Arabidopsis thaliana: one gene and its partners. The protein of the gene in region 2 interacts with the protein of the main gene of each other region in a pairwise test. Each region holds a gene or a part of one and is shown on either strand. Other genes may lie near its edges. The genes, in order: AN3, WOX14, GIF3 and GIF2.

Evidence for each region.
Region 1: the proteins of WOX14 (region 2) and AN3 interact in binary tests that used the Arabidopsis thaliana proteins (3 or more experiments, as listed by UniProt).
Region 3: the proteins of WOX14 (region 2) and GIF3 interact in binary tests that used the Arabidopsis thaliana proteins (3 or more experiments, as listed by UniProt).
Region 4: the proteins of WOX14 (region 2) and GIF2 interact in binary tests that used the Arabidopsis thaliana proteins (3 or more experiments, as listed by UniProt).

The regions. Positions count from the first base shown.
Region 1 is NC_003076.8:10,646,925-10,651,970, reverse strand, and holds AN3 (SSXT family protein), read left to right. Parts: upstream 1-1,908; 5' UTR 1,909-2,350; coding exon 2,351-2,431; exon of another isoform or gene 2,432-2,583; intron 2,584-2,595; exon of another isoform or gene 2,596-3,429; coding exon 3,430-3,506; intron 3,507-3,585; coding exon 3,586-3,670; intron 3,671-3,750; coding exon 3,751-4,140; 3' UTR 4,141-4,504; downstream 4,505-5,046. UniProt on the Arabidopsis thaliana protein: Transcription coactivator that plays a role in the regulation of cell expansion in leaf and cotyledons tissues.
Region 2 is NC_003070.9:7,180,710-7,184,616, forward strand, and holds WOX14 (WUSCHEL related homeobox 14), read left to right. Parts: upstream 1-1,848; coding exon 1,849-2,053; exon of another isoform or gene 2,054-2,620; coding exon of another isoform or gene 2,621-2,639; coding exon 2,640-3,026; coding exon of another isoform or gene 3,027-3,043; exon of another isoform or gene 3,044-3,113; coding exon 3,114-3,157; 3' UTR 3,158-3,347; downstream 3,348-3,907. Other genes in the region: HMGB3 (high mobility group B3), read left to right, coding at 1-51, 281-360, 448-484; WOX10 (WUSCHEL related homeobox 10), read left to right, coding at 3,776-3,907. UniProt on the Arabidopsis thaliana protein: Acts redundantly with WOX4 downstream of the TDR/PXY receptor kinase to regulate procambial cell proliferation and differentiation in vascular tissue, independently of any role in vascular. Involved in the regulation of gibberellin (GA) biosynthesis pathway.
Region 3 is NC_003075.7:355,519-359,843, reverse strand, and holds GIF3 (GRF1-interacting factor 3), read right to left. Parts: upstream 2,500-4,325; 5' UTR 2,170-2,499; coding exon 2,086-2,169; intron 1,754-2,085; coding exon 1,677-1,753; intron 1,576-1,676; coding exon 1,467-1,575; intron 1,392-1,466; coding exon 1,118-1,391; coding exon of another isoform or gene 1,044-1,117; coding exon 916-1,043; 3' UTR 507-915; downstream 1-506. Other genes in the region: ATOZI1 (monopolar spindle protein (DUF1138)), read left to right, coding at 1-72, 151-296; AT4G00840 (DHHC-type zinc finger family protein), read left to right, coding at 2,739-2,927, 3,194-3,392, 3,488-3,579, 3,687-3,813, 3,928-4,013, 4,101-4,166, 4,245-4,325. UniProt on the Arabidopsis thaliana protein: Transcription coactivator that plays a role in the regulation of cell expansion in leaf and cotyledons tissues.
Region 4 is NC_003070.9:70,675-74,650, reverse strand, and holds GIF2 (GRF1-interacting factor 2), read right to left. Parts: upstream 2,295-3,976; 5' UTR 2,069-2,294; coding exon 1,982-2,068; exon of another isoform or gene 1,737-1,981; coding exon 1,635-1,736; exon of another isoform or gene 1,565-1,634; coding exon 1,488-1,564; intron 1,365-1,487; coding exon 1,256-1,364; intron 1,164-1,255; coding exon 911-1,163; intron 830-910; coding exon 768-829; 3' UTR 555-767; downstream 1-554. Other genes in the region: AT1G01170 (ozone-responsive stress-like protein (DUF1138)), read left to right, coding at 208-313, 401-546; AT1G01150 (Homeodomain-like protein with RING/FYVE/PHD-type zinc finger domain-containing protein), read left to right, coding at 2,653-2,709, 2,930-3,610, 3,683-3,811. UniProt on the Arabidopsis thaliana protein: Transcription coactivator that plays a role in the regulation of cell expansion in leaf and cotyledons tissues.

The DNA of each region.
Region 1 (5,046 bases), on a different chromosome or scaffold from region 2:
TTTTCTCTATGTAAGAGGATTCAACATCAACCTCACATTAACTATAAAATTTATGGCTGTTATATAGAAAATAAGGTAGTATAAAATTAATGTCGTAAAAATTTAATATTTCTTTTAGGTATTAACCAAAATGAATTGATCATTTGTAAGCGTTTCAGAATCCTACCTTTAACTTCATAATCTCAATTTACAGTATGCAAACAACTATATTGGTCTGATAAAAAAGAAGAAATGGTATTTTTAGTTTTGTTCCTAGTGTTTTTGGTTTGCTTTTAGATGGCATAGAAACACTATTGGTTTGGTTATTGTCTATAAGACATAATTAATCGGGAAAAGAAAACAATTCATTTATCCTTACAGATTACTTTAATGTTCATACATAATACTATAGTTAAACAAACAAACATTAAAAGTTGAGCCTCCGTGGTTCATATATGCAGAAGGAATATCTCGGATCCATTTTTGGTACCAACGAATAAAGTGTTAATTAATATTTAACCACATCTACAAGAGGGTTTAACGTGGAATTAAGTATAACCACGCAAAGATAATATAGCTGTTGAATCTTTTTCTTTTTAAATTACCGACCATCGAAACGTACTTCAAGAATTCGAACAAAAAGTTAATGAGACTTATCAAATAACTCCAAACTAATTATTATTATTTTCTTTACAAAAGCATTTCAAAAACTTTAGAGACCCTTTGGTTGAGAATCATCAATATTAAACATTCAAACCAAGTTAGGGCAGTGTTTTGATGGTCGATAACTCGTCTTATTGGTCGAGACAAGTGATCGAGTTAGTATTAACATATGTAAAAAAAAAGAAACATGTATTGATCATTGTTGAGGATAAATTTCATCTATTAAGATATCAGTCAATTATAATGTGTTACGTGATTCGATAAAAAAAAAAGACCAAAAAAAAAAAGAAGATAACTATTGGTAAGCGTAAGAAATGTGTTTACATTTTGGCATTTTGCCAAAACACATAAAGATGGTTAGTGATGAGACGAGACGAGTCATGCGCTACTTTTAAAACAAAATGAAAAACATCATTAAGCTAACAAACCAAACACACTTGTTTTGATAACATGTTCTAGGGAACTAGTTATGCCAAATCTAATCCGCATAAGAAGACTAAGTCACAACATAATTCAGTAATTTGGTTGAGATTAAATCCTATAAATATGATTTTAAGGTATAAGAGAGAAGAGACTCTTTTGATCAACACAATCAAACATCTACAAAGAAAATTATCTCACATAGCTACTTCTTAATCTAATTTTTTCATTAATCCATTTTATTTTAAATGTGAAGAATCGCATCTAGATGTGACCTCTCATGATAAAAAATTAAACCATTGTAAAAAAAATGTTGTGTAAAACTAAATATAATAAATTATTAAAAAAATACAAATTCAATCCACTAGGTTAAAAACTCCTATGTAGAACATTTTTTTATATTAAAATGTAAATACATGAATCTTATTTTTCGAAAAACTAAAGACATCTTTTTTTTATATATTAATTACCAAAACAAAATAAGACGACAAAAATATTCTTTGATATAGTAAAAGAAAACTAGAAAACTAGAAAACAATAAATTACCAAAACAATCTAGAAAACAATAAATCCTACTTTGCATTACTTTATTATAAAATCCCGAAATGAATCTATAAATGTAGAAAATATTATACAAAAGTTGTAAGAGATTTTAATATACATAATTACATATATATACAAGTAAATACACCGTATATACATACGAAGGAGTAAACAGTATTATTTGGTATATAGTTACGTCTCTATATACGAAGGGTTCAAACTTCAAAGTAATAATTTAATCAACAATGTGTACATATTGATAAGTAGTAGTATATATGTAAAGGTCTCACGTCTCTATAATAAAGTATGACTCGTCACGTGACCTCCTCTTCTTCGCAGAGACAGAGATAGGATGAGACAGAAAGAAACCAACAAAACCAAACCCCAAAACCCAAGAAAAAGAGAAAAACACTCTCTTCTCTTCTCTCTCTCTCTTTCTATTTAAGAGACTTCACTGTCTCTCTCAGTCTTTTAACGCAAAACAACTTTTGTGGAGGAGAGAAAGCGAGATAACACACACACAGAGATACACATCTTCAATAGTTAAGAGTTTTCTATATACAGAAGCATAGAGGAAAGAGAGAGAGACAGATACAAAAGTTAATATCTCTCTCTCTCACTTGGTGAGACTTCTCTTTTTCCTCTGGGTTTTGTGGTGGGGGTTGTCTCTATAAAAACTTATATATATAAAATATATAAATAAATAAGAAGGAATTATCAGGTTTTATATAAAATAGCAAAAGAAATGCAACAGCACCTGATGCAGATGCAGCCCATGATGGCTGGTTACTACCCCAGCAATGTTACCTCTGATCATATCCAACAGGTTCTCTTCTCCTTCTCCTCCTTCTCCTTCTTCTTCTATTATATTATCTCTTTCTTTTTTCTTTATTATATGTTTCTTTGAATTCATAAAGGAAAGTGAAGAAATCTCTCTTGCAAGTACCTTATAACTTTTTCTTTATATTATATAAAAAAGTATGTGAAACCCTTTTCTTCTGTTCTCATAACATAGATGATTTTTTTTCATTGGTTCTTTTTTGTTTGGTAAAAGAGTTCTTGTTATTCTTGTTTCCATGTCTTTTTTTTTCATAGAGAAATTAGTTTTAATACATGTGTGTTTATGTTTGATAAATTTGGTTGGTAGAGATGCTTTGGTCACTAAGATGATTCTTTCAACTTTTTTTCTTTTCCTTATAGATTTGGTGTATTATCAGTTAACTTTGATGCTAATTAAATGTCTAAAACCAGACAAAGTTAAGAAAGATTCTTTCTTTCAATGAAAATGAATGTTTAGGGTCCAGTTGTGTTTTGAGTTCTTGAAACATGTAATGAAAAATAACGTGTTCAAAACAGACAAATCTTGGGAACTGAAGATTTGTTTCACATATCTCGTTTTTTCTTCTTGTCTTGGTTTTCGGGTTCTGGAAGTTTCATTGATGGCAAAAACCACAAAGCCATTTATGTGAATATTGTGGGTGGTCCTGTTTAGATTTGTTATCATTATAAGTAGATCTATGTGTATTTTCCAGTCCAAGTGTTTCTTTTATTGCTTACATGACCAGATATACTTTGTGGTCCGAAACAACATCTGGTCCTTATCTCAGTTTTTTTTTTGTGTGGTCCTCAAAATCTTTTCGAAGAAAATCTTTCGTTACACTTTTGTGATATTTCAACATTATTGTCTTTTGAGATAAGTCGGAATTTAAGTTACTGGGGTCTCCTTTTGAGATTTTCTATGTCTTTATTACAACAAAAACAAAATAGTATGCAAATTTTTTGTTTGTAGCATTAGTAATGATTAATGAAAATGTTTGATTGTAGTACTTGGACGAAAACAAATCGTTGATTCTGAAGATTGTTGAGTCTCAAAACTCTGGAAAGCTTAGCGAATGCGCCGAGTAAGAGACAACATATCTCCTTTATGATTTCACTTGTGTTCTGTTGAGTAACAAGAAATGATGATTAAAATGGTTATAGGAATCAAGCAAGGCTTCAACGCAACCTAATGTACCTAGCTGCAATAGCAGATTCTCAGCCTCAGCCACCAAGTGTGCATAGCCAGGTGATTGTTTATACAGTGAAGTATTCCAAATTTTGTTGTATGATCAATTGAGAAAGTGATTTGTTTTGTTTGGTTATTAGTATGGATCTGCTGGTGGTGGGATGATTCAGGGAGAAGGAGGGTCACACTATTTGCAGCAGCAACAAGCGACTCAACAGCAACAGATGACTCAGCAGTCTCTAATGGCGGCTCGATCTTCAATGTTGTATGCTCAGCAACAGCAGCAGCAGCAGCCTTACGCGACGCTTCAGCATCAGCAATTGCACCATAGCCAGCTTGGAATGAGCTCGAGCAGCGGAGGAGGAGGAAGCAGTGGTCTCCATATCCTTCAGGGAGAGGCTGGTGGGTTTCATGATTTTGGCCGTGGGAAGCCGGAAATGGGAAGTGGTGGTGGCGGTGAAGGCAGAGGAGGAAGTTCAGGGGATGGTGGAGAAACCCTTTACTTGAAATCATCAGATGATGGGAATTGAAAGAGTGTGGCACAAGGAATCTTAATGATGAAGCAGCAGCAGCAGCAGAAGAAGTAGTAGTAATAATAGGAGTCTTGAAGTTAGTGTGTTTTGGTTTTAGTTGCTTGTTGAAGAAGCAAAGAACTCTTTATTTACTTCTTTTTAGTTTTGTTATTCTCTCTATGTTTGTTCCCTAAAACAGTGAACCTCTTTCGTGGTAGTGTACCATGTAAATCTGCTGGCTCCAAGTTGTGTCGTAATCTTAATATGTTATTTCTCTGAGTTAGACTCTTTTGCTTTAACCAGGACTGAAGTTTTGTAGATCATTGATGTTACCTATTTGGATTCTAAATCGTTATGTAGGCTATATTATTGTTTTTTTTTTCTGGCTGTTATACATAATTTTATTTTATAGTTGATAAAGTCCAACCGGTTCAGTCCAAGACTCATATGACCAGCCTTAGTGGTCCTCGCAAGGTCCCATACTGCTGAAGACCGGACCATAGCCACCCGAAGCTGCACTCAAACCAAAGACCATATTCGGGTCCATTTAAGATAAAGTCTCGTGAAGAAAAGAGGGTTTCAAAAATGTGTCTTTTGGTCCCTTTGCTTCGTCCTAGATTCTTCAAGTAGTATTGAGTGTGGATTTCCCTTAGTTGAGAGTTCCATCGACGATTGTTTTTCTAGTGTCTGGATTCCCCTAGGAGGCCAAGCCCAGCCCCTGCTTTTTACAACTCAATCACAAGCCAAGAGAAGTCTTCAGTTATTCTATTACTTCCTTCCCTTTGGCAAAACTATAAGCCTTGAAACAATATGTCACAAACACTAGTTAAATGTTTAGACCGCACCACCATAGGCCCCAAGTATGTATTTGACATGTTGGCTTCATGCCTGCTCTACTAGACTTCATTTTTGTCTAACTGGTAG
Region 2 (3,907 bases):
AAGGTTGAGTATGAGAAGAACATGAAAGCCTACAACAAGAAATTGGTAATTGTTTATTTGCATATAGAAGGCTATGTTATGTTTATATTAACCACGTTATTGAGTTGTCTACTCTCTTTATACTAGTCAGTAGTCACACTATTCAAGGCTTTCTTAATTTGTTTACTATATATTGAAGTTTGAGTTATGTTTATTCTAAACAATGATGATACAAGCAACTGGTAATTTGGTTAATGGGGGTGCTTGAATAATGGTGGTGTGTTGTGGTTTCAGGAGGAAGGCCCTAAGGAAGATGAGGAATCTGACAAGTCAGTTTCAGAGGTTAACGATGAGGATGATGCTGAGGATGGCAGTGAAGAGGTAAGTTATTTTACACCTCTGCAATCTAAATATCTGTAGTATGAATCAGTAAAGCTTTGTATTAACTCTGTTATACATGTGATGTAGGAGGAAGACGATGATTAAGAAGTTGAAGTTGTGGTAGCGTAATATAGAAGGCTGCAAGGAATCTCTCGGATGTTTTTATCTCCTCTCTTAAAATGTTAATTCGGGTGGTTAAAGTGGTTTTTTTTTTTTTTCTTTTTCTTTTTCTTACTGATGTTTCGTTTTAGTAAACTATTACCTATCTCCCACTGATTCTACGGGTAATGGAAAAAGTGAATGTAGAATGTTTAGATGGTGAAATGAGAGATTTGTAGCTCTATATAATGAATGATTTAGTTTTTAATTCCTCTACGTTTTAATGCTCTTTAGACTCTTTGTTTCTAGTTGATATGAGGATTTATACCCCTGAAAAAAATATTAGTGTAAACCATGTTTTTACTTAAATCATATTGGGGTTGTGAGTCCTATTGCATAATCACGCTCTTAATCAATGTGTTCCACAAAGAGTAAACCATGTTTTCACTTTTTATTTAGTTATTTGACTTTAGACACAGGTTGGTAAAATTGTTTTGAGGCTATACTTGAATTTTCCAAATTACCAACGCCATGATCATTTGGTTCTCTTTTCATCTTTTGAAAAAAAAAAATGGTTTGCATCAGCTTAATTAAGAGTTTCTCTTTGGATTGTATTACTTCGTTTGATTTAAGAAATAAGTAAAAAATTTGATCATTTTTGACAAAAGTGAAGATTTTAGTGAAAATCTGCGTATTAGCAGCAGAATAGTCTCACTTATGTTATAAATTTTTAGTCAACATCTTTATATCAAAGAACCTTTTTGGTCAAATTCGTACATTTTCTTCTTAATCAACTTAGAAAAAGAAAGAAAGCATGCTCTTCTTTTTCCATCAATAGTTTAATCATTAGTCATAAGTCACAACGATAATATTTTATATAATGCTGTGATTAAGCCTTGCTTCCGGCTTTACCTAACCACTATATACATAAAGTAAGATACACAGTTTGTGTTCCTCTACGGATGTAACAACAATACCTGGTTTTAATTAGGTTGTTTTTATATATTAGTGTGGTGTCTTATTATGTCATCAACACATAGGATTAAGATCTTCTTAGATACATATTTTGGATTAGCACATTTTTCTATTTCAAATGGTAGATATCTTGACCCGTAAAACTCGATTAAAATGTTGAAATTCTAACAAAAAATTGTGAATACCGTCGACCAAAATCTATCCTAGTGAAAGGCCATAGTTCTCCAATGTTTTCAATATGTAACCAATGTAATAAACCTGGTAACTGTAAAAATTAAATTGGTCCAATTGATCATTAAACAAAGACATCTTTCCAAAAAGTGTTTGATTTAACGGTAACAAATAAACTAAAGATCCCTTTATTCATAAACAAAAGAATATATATATCATTCACTTTCTCATTGTCTTGTTCATATGGTAAAAAAAAAAAAGGAAAAGGAGAAAAGCAAAGAAATAGAGGAGATGGATAGAGAGATCCAAAACGGTGCGTATAGTGGGAGAGTGATGACTGAGGAGCAGATGGAGATTCTCCGTAAGCAGATCGCCGTTTACGCCGTTATTTGTGACCAACTCGTCCTCCTCCACAACTCCCTCTCTTCTTACCATCCACTCTCATCAGGTACACTTCTCTCTGTTTTTGTTCCTGATTAACAACAATCACTTTTCTATGTATTTGATTTTTTTACAAGAGACCATTTGATGAGCTTCTTTGTATACGGTAGAAGAAGTGTGTAAGACGAAAGTGTTTAAACGCAGCGTTTTTTGCGATGCAAACGTTGTTTCCATTAATACACTTGACCCATTGAGACTTTAGTGTAAAAATGTGAAAATTGTGTTTGCGTTTGGTATACAACTAACGAAATCCAAGGCTTTTTTTTTCCCAGTGTTCGATGCATAACTTTGAATCAAATTTCATAATGTTTTAGACATTCGAAGACAGTTTACCTACCGCTTAGATATCGATTTATCATTGCTAAAGATATTTGTTAATATAGTTTATGATTTGCTTAGATCGAACAATTCAATATATTATTAATGTTTATTTTCTCTAGACGTAAGCTGATTTGAGGGTTATCATGTCGTGGCCGATTTTTAAGAAGCTTGAGTTATTAGTGCTTTGTGGTTTTGATAATACATATTTTGTACATGGAAGAAACTTAAGGGTCACGTCACTTATTTTTTTATAATGATTGAGTGTAAAAAAGGAGTGAGGCCAATGGTTGGCGGATACTTTGATCCGATGGGGGCATCGTCAAGTTCTCATAGGATATCGACTAGGCATCGGTGGACTCCGACTTCAACACAGCTTCAGATACTTGAGAGCATTTACGACGAAGGAAGTGGAACACCGAATCGACGGAGGATTAGAGAGATCGCGACGGAGCTGTCTGAACATGGACAGATCACGGAGACAAATGTCTACAATTGGTTTCAAAACCGGCGAGCTCGGTCCAAACGAAAGCAGCCTCAAACGACGACAGCTAATGGTCAGGCTGACGATGTGGCGGTGACAACGGAGGAAAGGAGGAGTTGTGGAGATTCAGGGGGATTAGAGTCTTATGAGCATATACTCTTCCCAAGTCCTGACTTAGGTAAAAAGATCATTTGAGTTTTTAAACATTTGGTTAGGTTTATTTTTTATTTTTGGTTTGAGTTTGCATTTTTTTTTGTGGTTTCAGGGATTGAGCATTTGTTGAGTATAGGGAAATTTATGGAGACTTAAAATTCGTATAGACTTCGATGAAGAAGATCTCTAATCTATTCTGTTTTCTTTTACTCTGTTTTCATAAAATAGAATTGTGTGTGTTTGTGTGTGACATTAACAACAAGTCTTCAATTTTATTATAATTTTGTGTTCCTCAACTTGATATATATGCCCACATCTTTTTCAGCATCAGAAAGAAAAGTGATGCCATCTTAAACTCGGTTGATATTTTGACCGGTAAATCTCAATTCAAATGACACTAAAGAGTAGAAGCAATTGACCATAATAACCGATCCTAGTCATGACCATAGCTTTTTTCATTGTTTTTAAATTTATTGTTATCACACAAAAAATCATATAAAATCGGATATTGGTTACATGACCACACAATTAGAATATATATCAATTATTTATCCAATTGAATCCCAAAATTACCTCAATTAACTAGTAATTGAAAAAGAAAAAAAATCAGACAATTGATCCTAGTTTGACATCTTTCCATAAATTGTTTAAAGTTAACGGTAACAAATAACTAAAGATTTCTCAAAAAGAAAAATACATAACACCTTCACTTCCACATTGTCTTCTTCATATGGTAAAAAGGAGAGAGGAGAAGGCAAAGTGGTGAAAGAGGAGATGGAGCAAGAGAGCCTAAACGGTAGGTATGGTAGTAGAGTAATGACGGATGAACAAATGGAGACTCTTCGTAAGCAAATCGCCATTTACGCCGTTCTTTGCGACCAGCTCGTCTTCCTCCACAACTCTCTC
Region 3 (4,325 bases), on a different chromosome or scaffold from region 2:
GTGCCCTTGCGGGATCTGCGGTAGTAGCTTACGTGTGTGACAAAGTTATTTCTGATGATAAGCTTTTTGGAGGCAAGTTTTAAACCTTATAAAGCTACTTATGATGTATCCAGAAAGCTAAATTTGGTTTGGTTTGTTTTGAACTCTCAGGTACTACACCAGGAACTATTACTAACAAGGAATGGGGTGCTGCGACTGAAGAGAGATTACAAGCATGGCCAAGAGTTGCTGGTCCTCCCGTCGTCATGAACCCTATCAGTCGCCAGAATTTCATCGTCAAGTCACGTCCTGAATAACTTTTGATGCCTTCTCGTGCATCGTTCTCATTCGTTATGGATTCATTTTCGAATATCTGCTCTTTTGTGTTTGATTTGAGGATCGGCTGATTGCTCTAGCTGGTTATAGTAATAATTTGTGTTGATGCGTAACACATTATTCGGATCAAGCTTTTCCCCGATGCATAACTTTTGTAAGGTTTGTTGATTTTGACGATAAATGAAATCGAGCCAAAAAGAAAAACTTCTAAGACATTATTGGTTTGTTTGGTTTGGAATTTTGTTATCGCTGATTCTGTAAACATTTTTAAAACTGTTACTTTTCATCTCAAGCCTTGGAATTAATTATCACACAAACCTGGAGGCAAACTATCAGGTAAACGTGATTCTAAACCCGGTTCATACACCAAATTGAACCGGTGACACTAATACCATACAACAACATTTAACATTGTACATGTGAATGTGAACCATTCCACATCCATCTAGGAACTGAAACTCAACTGTCTCAGAACCCTTTTAACAGAGACTAACTCATAAAATGACAAAACCTTTTTTTTATATCATCGTGAAGAAAGTAAAAATGAAAGGTAGAACCTAATTGATATCAACAAGAAGCATCACTTATTCTTCCTCTATTTCATTTTCCTTCAGTTTTTGCATCACCACCGCCATGTCTAGCGGCTGAGCCACCTTGCCCATCAGCTCCACTCTGGCTCATATTGGTCCCATCCGGTTTACCTCCTCCACTAGCATCGTTAGGACCCGCTTTTGGTAGAGAAAGAAGGTGAAAATCAGTAATGTGATAATAAGTTCCAAACTGCTGTAAAACCAAATATTACCATTGTTTGCGGCAAGAGCAGTTTCATGGTGGTGCATTTGATGTTGCAGTCCGTTGTTATTATTCAAACCCATTGGTCTAATCCCCATGTGCCCTTGCATAGCTTGTTGATGTAACTGTTGCTGCGGATCCAGAAACTGATGCGGGCTACCAAATTGCAATGGACCTCTAGGAGGGAAAATCCCAGGAGGTATTTGTTGAGCCATTCCCACAGCTTGATGTTGCTGCATGAAGTAGCTTGGTGGTGGCTGCATTGATGACGGATTAGGAGCCATCTACAGAAACCAAACACACACAAACTATAAGAACCAAAATGTTTTGTTTTTCAACTGATCAAAACAGAAACTTACTGCTTGGGGAGTCATGGCTCCTGATGTTAGTGTAGCTGCTGGTGGCTGAGGTTGAGCATCCGCAATTGCAGCGAGATACATCAAATTCTTCTGGAGAAGAGCTTGATACCTAAAAGAATCAAGCAAGAACCATGTTTTATTATTAATATTCTATTTACCATCAGTAAAGCTAACATAGCTCGGTCTTGGTATCGAGAATCCCACACTTACTGAGCACATTCTGCAAGTTTACCGAGGTTCTGATTTTCCAAGATCGCCATTATCAGCTTCTTGTTCTCATCAAGATACTGCAAGAAGCAGCAATAAGTGACTCACTGTGTCAACATGTCATCTTCACAATCTGATTTTAAGCTTTCAAATCTCATATGCATACAAATACTCTGTTTTCACTCAAAAAAAAACTCCAAACTCATGATTGTACATCCAATTCCAGTAACAAAAAAAAGTTAAAGCGGAAAACAATGACACTTTAAAACAAATCATACTCAAGAAGGAAAGTTCATTACAACAGTTTAAACTACTCAAAAACATCATTACACAACCAATTTCAAAGCTACGATAAACAGACATTATGACTAAACAACAGAAAGACAAAAAATATAGAAAGTAAAGTAGTAACCTTTTGGATCTGTTCGGTGGTGATATTATTGGTGGGCGGAAATGAAGGAAGAACCATCGGAATCATCTGTGGAGATTGCTGCATCTTTTATAATTCACCAATCAAAACTCTGAAACAGTGAAACCCTAAAGTTTCTTCTCACGATTATTACAAAACAATAATTCTGAGTGATAGAATTGGTTTAAGAGCCCAATGCAAAACAAACTGATGCAAAAATATTCAACAAACGAATATTTTGGATTATCCTTAAATTTAAGACTTTTGATTTGTTTGAATTTCGCCGACGAGGTTTCTGGGAAATCGTAGGACAAAAAAGTCCCCCAACCAATTAATTTGTCTCCCCCACCGAATGTACACGTGGCACCTTGTCTGATTTTTCGTCAGCTCTACGATAACCAAAAAAAGACAACATTTGTAGCTGTTATTATTTATTGGGCCTGTTAATGGGCCTTATAAAGAATTATGAAAGCTTCTGTGTCAAGAAGAAGGTTACTTTAAATCTGTATCAATATCAGCTCCACGACGGCGATTCGTCGTTGTCCTCCGAACCAAGCAAACTCCGATCCCTCACCGTGGCTCCGGATATTTTACGGCGGTTGTTCCCGGCTCGGACTCGAAGAATTGTCCGGATTCTCCCTTTGACCAGGCTGGAGATGAACCTTTTCCGGTTCTGCTCCGGTCTGAAAGTCCTCGGCTATTTCATGATCCTTCTTGTCGTCGCCGTCGTTGGTGTATCTTACTACGCCGTCGTAGTTAGCACATGGTGGCCGATCTTGATCCGCGGAGACCATGGAGCTTTATCCGCCCTCGCTGCCTTAATCATCTTTGTTTTCCATTTCCTGGTAATTTCCAAGTCTCATAATTTCAGATTAGGTTTTGTTTCTGGAATTGTAAGTCTAGGTTTTCTGCTACTTAACCCCTAAACCTTAAACTTAGGGATGTGGCATGAAACTTATGTAGCCAAGAGAATGAGAAATGCAATGTAGTTATGAAGCATGAAGCAGTGTAGATACATAATCATTGTTTAGACCATTGATTGTTAGTAAATGTTTAGGCTCCCTGAGTTTAGGTTTACAATTATACTTCTGATTTGCTTGGTTCTTTGCAGCTGATAATGCTGTTGTGGAGCTACTTCACAACAGTTTTTACAGACCCAGGTTCTGTTCCTGAGCATTTCAGAAGAGAAATGGGAGGTGGTGACAGTTTGGAGGCTGGTACTTCGACAGATCAAGGAGCTTTTGGCTCTTTAGGTTACTGTACCAAATGCCGGAATGTTAAGCCGCCTCGTTGCCATCATTGTTCTGTGTGTAAGGCGAAATCTGATTTGTTTATACTATGTTCTGCTTGTGTTTCTACTGATAGAGAAAGAAAGCTTTATTCGGTTCTTTGTTTCCTTATGTAGGTCAAAGATGTGTTCTTAAGATGGATCATCATTGTGTTTGGATTGTAAACTGTGTTGGAGCACGCAATTACAAGTTTTTCCTTCTCTTTCTGGTAAATATTCATTTCCATTGTAGTCTCTTATGGTTCTTAAAAGGTTTAAGCGAGCATTGGGATTATTTGATTTGCTGATTTCTTCACCCTCTTTTTTTAATTTGTAGTTCTATACTTTTCTTGAGACAATGTTGGATGTTATTGTCTTGCTTCCTAGTTTCATTGAATTCTTCAGCCAAGCTATAAAGCATTCTTCTTCTCCGGGTAAACTGGCCTCTCTCGTTCTGGCATTCGGTGAGTATAAACGGTTCTTTTTCTCGTTTTCCTTTTCCCAGAAAGTGCTTAGCTTTTTTCTGGGTCTCATTTTCCGTCTTTATGTTTCTTACAGATTCTATCCCCTTGATGCAGTTCTTAACTTTGCGTTCGTTCTCAGCCTTCTTTGTTTCGTAGTCATGCATATTTCTCTTCTCTCATCCAACACTACTTCAGTTGAGGTAAATCTTTTATGTTCTTGCTTTCACAAACAATCTAAGTCTTGAAAATATGAGTCTCTTCTCTGAATCATTGTCTTATTTTTTTAGGTTCATGAGAAAAATGGAGAAGTCAGATGGAAATATGACTTAGGAAAGAAGAAAAACTTCGAGCAGGTGAGATTTTATTGTTTTCATCATTCCATGGATTGTTAGTTAATTAAATATATAACTCTTTGTTTTCATCTTGTGAAGGTTTTTGGGAAGAAGAAGGCGTTTTGGCTCCTCCCATTGTACTCTAAAGACGATATCGATAACATAACTTCCCTTGAAGGC
Region 4 (3,976 bases), 7.1 Mb from region 2:
CAATTATTCTACAAACCCTTTTATTTTTCTTTTGAATTACCGTCTTCATTGGTTATATGATAACTTGATAAGTAAAGCTTCAATAATTGAATTTGATCTGTGTTTTTTTGGCCTTAATACTAAATCCTTACATAAGCTTTGTTGCTTCTCCTCTTGTGAGTTGAGTGTTAAGTTGTAATAATGGTTCACTTTCAGCTTTAGAAGAAAATGGCATCAGGAGGTAAAGCCAAGTACATAATCGGTGCTCTCATCGGTTCTTTCGGAATCTCATACATCTTCGACAAAGTTATCTCTGATAATAAGATCTTTGGAGGCAAGTTCTGCTCAAGATTTATCTAGTTTTGTGTGTGTTTTCAAGTTAGGGACGATCTTAATGGTTATCTTCTTGTGAAAATTTCAGGGACTACTCCAGGAACTGTCTCTAACAAAGAATGGTGGGCAGCAACGGATGAGAAATTCCAAGCATGGCCAAGAACCGCTGGTCCTCCCGTTGTTATGAATCCCATTAGCCGTCAGAATTTCATCGTCAAGACTCGTCCGGAATGAGAAAATAATAAGTTCAATGCTTTGATTTTCAGAATAAGATGAACGATGACGATGTTTTCTAAATCCGAGCTTGTACTAAATAACAATACATTACAACACGGTTTGCGGAACTACTCCACAGTCTATCTTCTGTTAAAAAACTCAAACAAGCTATTGCAAAAAGCCCTTACGAGACTCACAAGTCCTAAATATCAACAAAACAAAGCTTCTTTGGATCCTTTTCACTTGCCATCATCTTTTCCTTGTCCATCTGCTCCATCTTGCTTTCCTCCTCTAAGCCCCACTGTTAGCAAAGAAAGAAGTAATGGATACAAGTTACAATTTATGAGATTGAGTATTGTCTTAATAATGTAAAGAGAGTTACCGTTTCCTCCAAGACCGGTTTCTGGTTGTTGCATCGCATGCTGCATCCCGTTGTTGGTCATACCCATTGGTCTAATCCCCATGTGTCCTTGCATAGCTTGCTGATGTATCTGCTGCTGCTGTTGCGGATCCTGAAACTGGAGTGGGCTACCAAACTGTAAAGGACCCCTTGGAGCGAAAATCCCTGCAGGGGATGCTTGTGGGTGTTGCATGAAGTAGCTAGGTGGTTGCATCCCAGAATGCGGTGTTGCCATCTAACAGAAATCATACCCAACAGTAAGCAAACCCCCAAACAACATTAAATTTCTGTGATAGATCGCAATTGAGTTTTATCATCACAAACAACCTGGGCAGCGACAGCTGTAGATGGTGAAGGTCCTGGCGTAGGTGGTGGGGGTTGAGCATCAGCAATTGCAGCAAGATACATCAAGTTCTTCTGGAGAAGAGCTTGGTACCTGAAAATATAACAGAGCAAAAGATAGAATAACTATATAAACCTCACCATTAATAATAGTAATTCTAAGCTTCCATTACTATCTAAGAGACATAAGAAGATGGATAGAAAAGGTGAGACTTACTGGGCGCACTCAGCAAGTTTACCGAGATTCTGGTTTTCCATGATGGCCATAATCAGCTTCTTGTTCTCATCAAGGTACTGCGTTTAAGCAAAGGAAAGAGAATGACAAGGAAATGACGATGCAGCCTATCATCTTACCATGGAAGACATCAAGCCAAGAGAAAGTACAAAACAACAACATCAAGCAAGCATCTAACTTCAATGTCCATTCTTGAAAACCGGATTCAAAGTTTCCTGACCCACCAAGCATCTACTAATTTCCTAGTCCTAGAAACTGTCTCTTCTCATCATCACCAACAACAGACTCTCAAGTGTTGTGGAATTAACGAGAAAGATTCAAATGAAAACCCTAATTGCCACCAATTACAGTCAAAAGAGTATTACTTGCACTCAGAAGCCAATGATTTTGTCAGTACAAAAAAGCTCTAAGAGCCTCCTAAGTAGTGTTGAACAAATTAAGAGAGAGGGAGAGATATAGGGTGAGAAAGAAGGAACCTTTTGGATCTGTTCGGTAGTGATGTTGTTAGCAGGGGGAATCGACGGAACCATCGGAAACATTTGCGGAGACTGCTGCTGCTGCATCTTCTTCTTCTTTACTACTTACTTTGCCCCAACTAAACCCTAATTTCGTCTTCCCCAAAAAACCCTCGACAAAACCCAGACCGATCCAAACGCAGGAAATGATTGCAAGCTATATCTATATATATTATAGAGAGAGAATCCTGCAATTTATTACTTGGATTCACCTGGATGTCGAACCACCTCTGTGTGGATTTTATGACCAAAAATGCCTCTGTCTCTCTCTCTCTCTCTCTAATTTGTCTTTACAAAACTCTAAACGAAAACATAAAACATTAATTAATACAGCAACGAGCAACCTCTAACCAAATTAGAAAGTTTTGGATATATTTGGGCCAATGGGAAAAAAGGACATATTTGGGCCTAAGACGGTTCTAAGGCCCATGGACCATCGAGAAAGTTACATTGCAAAGTACTACATTGAGTCAGTTTCTTCCTTCTTCGCCTAAATTCGAAATTTCGAAACCTCAGACACACTTACAGAGAGACCAAACGGTAACATACAGTAGCTTCTTTTTCTTATTCGTTAAGAAATCTCACGTAAACCCTTCGAATTTCTCAAATCTTCACTCGGAATCTGAAAAAAAATGGTGAGTGATCTCCCGCTTGATGAAGATGATATCGCTCTCCTCAAGAGTCCTTATGTAAGCACCCCTTTTAGAAGAAACCTTTAATTTATTTTTTCTCGAATTTTAGTCTTTACTCGGATGTCGCTTGTGATACGTTAGAGAACAATTTGATATTTTTTACTGTGTAATTAGAACAAATTATGTCTTAATTGGTCTTAGATAACCTTAAATTGGTCGATTTAGTTCAATTTTGTGTAAACACTCTTACTTGGATTTATCTTCTTCTCTATCTTAGATAGGTGAAATTGTTGAAGAAATTGGCTTTGTGAGAGAAAAGCGCATTGCTCATTGTATTGTTCAGTGTGATGATGGTGGTGATGAGGACGTCAACTCTGCTCCAAACATTTTCACTTATGATAATGTGCCTCTTAAGAAGCGCCACTACCTTGGGACAAGTGACACTTTCAGAAGCTTTGAGCCGTTGAACGAACACGCATGTATTGTATGCGATATTGCAGACGATGGTGTAGTACCTTGTTCTGGGAATGAATGCCCTCTCGCTGTTCACAGGAAGTGTGTTGAGCTTGATTGTGAAGATCCTGCAACCTTTTACTGTCCCTATTGTTGGTTTAAGGAGCAAGCTACTAGATCCACGGCTTTGAGAACAAGGGGTGTTGCAGCTGCGAAGACCCTTGTTCAATATGGATGTAGTGAGCTGAGGAGTGGAGATATAGTCATGACGAGAGAAAACAGTCAACTAGAGAATGGTTCTGATAATTCACTACCAATGCAACTACATGAGAACCTTCATCAATTACAAGAACTGGTCAAGCACCTTAAGGCTCGAAATTCCCAGTTAGACGAGTCAACAGATCAATTCATTGATATGGAGAAATCTTGCGGAGAAGCTTATGCTGTTGTTAATGATCAGCCAAAAAGGGTACTATGGACAGTCAACGAAGAGAAGATGTTGAGGGTAAAACCACCACACTTTTTTCTTGAAATACACTTTTAGCTTAAACTTATAGTATATGTTTATTTTGGATAGGAGGGAGTGGAGAAATTTTCTGATACAATCAACAAAAACATGCCTTGGAAGAAGATTTTGGAGATGGGAAAAGGTATATTCCACACAACTCGTAATTCCTCCGATCTTAAGGACAAATGGAGAAATATGGTGCGTATGTGATTCCTTTCACCATAAAATCCTTAGAAGTATTAAATGACGCATTTGATATCAAAAACATTAAGACAAATCCTAGTGACCTTTTGAATTGGCAGTATAGTAGTGTGACGACTTTGATGTTAGTCCTTCCTTGTAATCGCAGTTTCGGATTCCTCC